Linked DNA regions of Nothobranchius furzeri. The protein of the gene in region 1 purifies or fractionates together with the protein of each later gene. This does not show direct contact. Links are inferred from orthologs where the notes say so. Each region holds a gene or a part of one and is shown on either strand. Other genes may lie near its edges. The genes, in order: slc37a3 and atraid.

Region 1 (3,928 bases):
AGAGTGTAGTTCCAACTTGTTGCCACTGGTTGGCGTCAATTTCCGTCTTCTGAGTTTGTCCTCCGCTACAGCATCAGCAGTGCAACATAACGTTTAGCTCAGGTAAAATAACATTTCCTTTATCAGTGTAACAAATAAGAGCTGTGGCGTGTAAGCCTGTGAATCTCGATGTGAGAGATTTGGCTGTTGTTTCTTCAAAATTTATGGGGTAGACGGCAGGGGCATGTCCAGGGAGTGGCCTGGGGTAGCACATGCCACCCTTGGAATCTTATTGGCCACCCCAGGTGCCACCACACTAATTTACCTTTAAATAGGCTTTTCATTGTCCACAAAAGGCTTGGGGGGTAAAACAAAAAAAGCATAACCATTGGTGCCACCCTTGCACAAAGGTGTGCCTCACCTGGGCCACCCCATTTTAAAAGATCTGGACACGCCACTGGAGACGGAGCGAGAAAGACGGGTGAGGGGGACAATGTTTCTAGGGGAAACATTTTGATGTAACACTTGGATTTTTCCTCCTGTCCTGTAGGGGCAGCAGCGCGCCGCGCTGAGCGCTCTGCTAGCGTTAATGACACATCCACAGTAAACACAACAGATTCAGCCAAGCTCCGAGCGAACGGTTCTAAAGGTAGGAACTCACCGTGTTTTTATTTTTATTTTTTCAACAATTTTATTCTCATTTATGTGTTTGACGGTCCCGGAACTTATGGTCCGTTGCGGTTTAGCCTGCCCTGACCCAACGCGGTAACATATATGACAGTTTCCTTCTTCAAATTCCCAAAAAAGAAAATAAATCGTTGAATGAAATTTTTTAAACAGACTACATACTAATGACAGTAGTTTAACTTAAACGACTCACACAATGGCTTAGTTATAGTTGCCATAGTAACGTCTGTTGAACGACACGAAAAGGGTCCATAGATTAAAAAAATCGTGTTTTGTTTGACCTTTAGCTTCAGACGTGTTTCTGTTAATATTTCAATCAGTTCAGTACGCAGTTTGAAGTAATAAACACATAGGAACCTAATAAGAACAGCCGGTTTCTAGGTGTGTTGATTATACAAAAGCTAATGAACTGTTTATTTTAATCCTCACATTGTGTTCTTGTCCAACCCATTTATCAGCAGTTACACAATAACAAAGACACTTAATAAATGATGCAAGCATCGGGTTTAATCTAACCTTGATCATCATCTAGAGTAAAATCGTGCTGCTTGAGAACTAAAACCCCACAGGAGGTTCTGAGAGTTTTATAAAAGCAGCAAAGCGAGTTGCTGCTGGACCCTCTGGTGGGGGATGCTTCTAAATGCCAACACACTGGCCTCTTTGATTGCTGCTCATGGCCGTTCACAAGGAGGCATTCAGACCAGGTGTCCGTAAAAAGCACAGGAAGACGGCTGCTTTCCACGAGGCAGCACTCGTCATCGTACCTGAACCTGTGCATTCATGCATGAATTGATGAAGTCCTCAAAAACGTGTCAAGATACCAGATCAACTATTTCATTTAACGTTGACTTCATTCCTCTGCAGGCTCCTCGTCCCTCCCGTAGTGATGTGTTTGTCCCATCTGGTTTAGCGGAGCATCCTAGTTGAACCTCTCCACATATTTCTCAAAGACCTCCAGCCAGCACCACCTCCTTCCTCATCCTCCTCTTCCTCCCTTCGCCCACCCCGTGATGCCTCCCTCGTACTGTGGCTATCTGTCACAGTACACCCATCATCATCTGGTTGTCTTTCTCCTCACCTTCTTTAGGTAATCTGGAGAGGTCACTGGGTTTGCCAGCATCAATAAAACAAATGTTTCTGCTTTCTTGACAGCACAGATCCATTTTTTTAAATCCATTCATTGATTCTTGAGATGCTTCCGTGTCTCTTTTTCTCCACCATATTTGAGTTTGTAGCTCTAGTTAAACCCATCCTTATCACCAACAGGAGATAAGCTCCCACAATGCAGCTCTTTGGCTCTAATGATAACGTCCTCCTCCAGTTGCTTTTCTGGGTGTAAGCATAGTAATTAGAACCCATGAGATGTATTTTTTATGCTTTTTTTTTTTTTTACTATTTTCAGTTTATATTTTGCTAATTTCAATATTTCTAATAAGCTCCATAAAAGACGATCAATAATTTAAACGTAGCTTGTGCAAAATGGGTTAAAGGTCGTCAGAGTGAGGTGACCTAGATGCTGTTAGAGCAGCAAGGATGATCAGTACTGTTTAATGTGCAGCCAAATTAAACACAGAATGACTTAAACTTTAAATGTTTTGCCATGTTTTGTCTTTTTGCAGCTATGTGTTGCTCCATGCATCCAGGAAGACGTTTAGCAACGTGAAAGTGAGCATCTCTGCTCAGTGGACACCCTCCATCCAGAACGACAGCATACCCGCGTTCTCCCCCAGTCAAGTAATGATCAAAACGTCCAATTAAAATCATTTTTTATTTAAAAAATGGCCACTCAGTGGCGACGCATGGCTGTTTTCCTAATTTGACACTTCAGAAGGCATGATTGGAAAGCTAAAGTTCAGGAAAAAACGTTTTTATACCTAGAGCATCCAGAAATGTAATTATGCATCAGAAAGGTTCCTTTTAGCTAATTTATTTTTATTTTTAGATAAACTGTTTAATTTGGTGTGTTTTCTGTCCAGACATGGGAGGACAATCGCCTTTTTGCTGATGAAAAGCAGGCTACTCTATTTCTGGGAGCTCTGGATTCGATCTTCCTCTTCTCTTACGCAGTGGTGAGTCAACCAGAACATGTTGACAAGAATCCTCAGCGGCCGTTTAAGTTAGCTCACGCTTCCTGACAGCAGTGTCAGCAGCCTTCTGCAGGAATTAAAATCAAGCAAAGAACTTTGAGTCTTTTTAATTTGAACCAAGTCAGTGTTTTATCTGCTCTCGTCCTCACAGGGTCTGTATCTGAGTGGAGTGGTAGGAGACAGAGTCAACCTGCGCTACGTTCTCTGCTTTGGCCTGTGCGGCTCTGCTATTGTGGTCAGAACTGAATGTTGTTGGCTTCTTGTGATGCTAATTATCTGCTGCTGAAAGACGCGTGTTCATTAGTAAACTATCTCATGAACCTCCTGACAGATGTGAATGAAACGCTCAGAGAGTCGGGATTTGTGTTTCCTTGCAGGAGTTTGTGTTTGGTACTCTGACGGAATGGCTCCACATCTACAACATCTATCTGTACTGTTGCCTCTGGGTGATGAACGGCCTGCTGCAGTCGGCCGTCTGGCCCTGCGTGGTGGCCGTCATGGGCAACTGGTTCGGCAAGGCGGGGTCTGTGACCAGTTTACAGGCAGCTGCTCACCAGGGATTTATAAAATTTATTTGTTCAATGTATTATTTATTTTTTCTAGGCGTGGTTTTGTGTTTGGGCTGTGGAGCGCCTGTGCTTCTGTTGGCAACATACTGGGAGCCTTCCTGGCTTCTAGTGTGCTCAAGTATGGATACGAGGTGTGAGACACACACACACACACCTTCAGCTTTTTTATTTTTTTTATTTTTTTGCCAAAACACTCTCAGAGCTAATATTTCCATCGTCTGTGCAGTATGCCTTCCTGGTGACATCTGTGGTGCAGTTTGCTGGCGGAGTGGTGGTGTTCTTCGGCCTCCTCACTTCCCCTAAAGAAGTTGGTAAGAAAGGCAGAAATGTGTGTCGTTTCCTAACCATAGAAGCTGTTGACCCAGTGAGTTCATTTGTGGCAGGTTTGGTGGAGTCAGAAACTGGACTTAGCCCAGTGGAGGCAGACTCAGACAGCCACAGGCCCCTGATGAGTGATGAGGAGGAAGAGGAGGTGCAGGTGTGCAGCAGGCGGTTCCCGTCAGTGCAGCAGCCCGACGAACCTCAGGAGGAGTCTCCTCAGGCCATCGGCTTCTTCCAGGCTTTCTGTCTACCTGGAGTTTTGCCCGTGAGTCTTCTTAACGTTAA
Region 2 (2,776 bases), on another chromosome or scaffold:
GGAAGGTGCGAATTTGCTGTCAGCAGTGGGTGTGTTGGCCCTGGTCGGCCTGAAGCAGACCCCCTCGAGAAGAGGGCTGAGAATGAGCCTTGGTTGACCCGGAAAAATACCCGACCACCCAGATATGTAAACAACCTACGCTACCCGGCCCGGGCCGACCCGGTACAGATGGGAATGGCCCACAAGACTCCAGTGTTTGTCAGGAGATATGTTCTTACTTCAGAAGGGTGGTAACAACTGCTGCCACCTAGCAGTCGGAGTTTGAATTGCACCACACAAAGAAATGCAGTAAATGTTTGCATGTAAATTCTTAATAAAAGCTCGATACATTGCTTTTAAATATTGATTCAGTATAACACAACAACTGCGATATTTCAATGTATCAATATTTTCTAAAAATTCCTAATTGTTATAACTGATGTATAAAAGAGTAATTGAAGACAGTTTTGTAGTCTGTTTGGACACATCTTAATCGAGCCAGTGTCTTTGTTCCTTTTGTTGGGAAATTTGTAAAGGTCAAGCATTCACGATTATAGAAAATCTGGATCTTTTTGTTACTCTGTGCTAAAACACGATATTTTTTTGTCAGGTTGGATTTATCCAATTGTTCGCTAACTCACGTGGACAATCTTCAAGAAGCATCCTCAGTGTTTATGATGTAAGTACACACAAACTACAAGTAGGAGAAAAATAAAGATTATTATTTTGTTGCTTAGTTTTTTCTGCATGTACAAGCTTTTTAATGATAAGATAGTACTGTAGTTCTGTTTCGCTGAACCCAGGATTAAAACATGTATGAGGCTAATTTCTTAGAAAGATGCTGACACAAATTTTTGTAGGAAGCAGAAATTTAGAAAAGTTTCCATTTTTTTTAACTTCATATTTTCCTTTTTTCTTCCTGGAAAATGTCTTGAACTGATGTTTTTTATAAATAGCGAAAGTCAATAAACCTCACAATTAAAATAATCTCTTCTTTGTTTTATTAGTATTTTACTGTCTAAATGTTTGTATTTTAGAGATCTCTCACGCAATCCACTTATCAACATCAGTGATGAAGTGTTTCAAGGATTTCTTGACTTAAATTACATGTAAGTATCCGCCGAGATCTATAATTATGACTGAATCAAATTTGTGATGAACTTTTATTTTCCTGCATAGTCAACTACAGTGTTTTTCTAGGGGTGTGTATTGGCAAGAATCTGGCTATACGATATTTATCACAATACAGGAGAGATGATACGATACATCACAATGCTAAAAACCAGATTATATTTGCGATTTTTAAGACAAAATGTAAAGGTGCACTATGTAAGAATATAGTGAGAATTTTACTGTGATGAAATCCCAAAAGAGTAATGTTTCAGTCATTTTGGAAGGAAGGTTATACTGAAACATATTTCATATCCAGCTGGCTGCGGAGATTGTCAGTTTTTCTCCCTTCAGAACAAAGGAAAGAGGGACGTAACTACTGTTTACCATCAGTGGATGTGGTGTTGCTGTGTCGCCTGCAAGCTAATACTGCAGTGCCAACAATTGTAATTTAACGACTGCCGGCAAAAAGCTCCAGAGTTGTTTAAAATGATTGCAGTAACCAAATTTTACCCCAGGATGTAATTTTTACTTCAATTCTACATAATGCACCTTCAAAGCTGCTATATCAAATTTACAGAAAGAGCTAGCTTTTAAGCTAATGCGGTCACAGAACACTCATTCCTCTTGTCGGCTATCATCCCCAGGCCACGTCTGCCAGAACAGGAAACCCACATTTCCAGAGGAAACTAAATACTGCTAAACACCACTAGCTGTTTTTTTACGCCCAAGCATCTTTTGTTTTCTAAAGTTGGAGTAGTAGCAGCTAGCTGTTTTTACTTTTCATATATTATTGACCGGCAAACCTTTCACACCAGTGATGTTCTGTTAATTAAACGAGAGCTTAGTGAGTGGAGGACTCAGGGAAATGTGGAAGTAAGGGGGTCTTGTGAGATCGACAACCGAATGGTCCAATTGTCGCATTTGGTCCAAGTCGTGTTATAGGGAGCCTAAGTCTACTTCCGCATCACGGGTCCCTGGAAAAACGAAAAAATGAATGCAAGTCAGTGGGGCTAAAAACGCTATTTTCTAATCCGCTTTGCCTTACGCCCTGGATCGCACATGTGTTGTACTGCAATTTAAATGAAAAGTAATGATGGGTATTTCGACCATGCCTGTCATGTACTTTGAGATTTTTTTGGCTTGTAAAAGTTATTAGCATGACTACAAACCAGAAATCGGCACGTCGCATACGTGACGTCACCACATCATCTCTAACCAAAGTAGCTGCTACTTACCAAATGGTAAATGGTAAATGGCCTGTATTTGATATAGCGCCTTCTAGAGTTCTTGAAACCCCCCAAGGCGCTTTACAACACAATCAGTCATTCACCCATTCACACACACATTCATACACTGGTGGGGATGAGCTACAATGTAGCCACAGCTGCTCTGGGGCGCACTGACAGAGGCGAGGCTGCCGAACACTGGCGCCACCGGTCCCTCCGACCACCACCAGCAGGCAACGTGGGTTAAGTGTCTTGCCCAAGGACACAACGACAGCGACAGACTGAGCGGGGCTCGAACCTGCAACCTTCCGATTACGGGGCGAGCACTTAACTCCTGTGCCACCGTTGCCCCAGATTTATGGCCAGATTTATGGTGGTTCTTTCCTCCTGTGGGAGGTTTGCTGAACTTACAGCCCTTTTCCCTCAGTTTTCTCCGTGTCTGGTTCAATGACGTCACT

What was found.
Region 2: the proteins of slc37a3 (region 1) and atraid purify together in Homo sapiens (affinity purification with mass spectrometry; 3 studies listed by BioGRID and IntAct, counting the BioPlex papers as one, with this or other methods). This does not show direct contact. The link is inferred for Nothobranchius furzeri from reciprocal best matches to the Homo sapiens genes SLC37A3 and ATRAID.

What each region holds. Positions count from the first base shown.
Region 1 is NC_091741.1:53,486,595-53,490,522, reverse strand, and holds the start of slc37a3 (sugar phosphate exchanger 3), read left to right. Parts: upstream 1-1,542; 5' UTR 1,543-1,676; coding exon 1,677-1,753; intron 1,754-2,285; coding exon 2,286-2,400; intron 2,401-2,642; coding exon 2,643-2,735; intron 2,736-2,904; coding exon 2,905-2,988; intron 2,989-3,130; coding exon 3,131-3,276; intron 3,277-3,356; coding exon 3,357-3,453; intron 3,454-3,548; coding exon 3,549-3,633; intron 3,634-3,705; coding exon 3,706-3,908; intron 3,909-3,928. UniProt on the Homo sapiens protein: Unlike the other SLC37 members, lacks glucose-6-phosphate antiporter activity.
Region 2 is NC_091742.1:1,494,485-1,497,260, forward strand, and holds part of atraid (all-trans retinoic acid-induced differentiation factor), read left to right. Parts: intron 1-589; coding exon 590-658; intron 659-1,016; coding exon 1,017-1,088; intron 1,089-2,776. UniProt on the Homo sapiens protein: Promotes osteoblast cell differentiation and terminal mineralization. Plays a role in inducing the cell cycle arrest via inhibiting CCND1 expression in all-trans-retinoic acid (ATRA) signal pathway.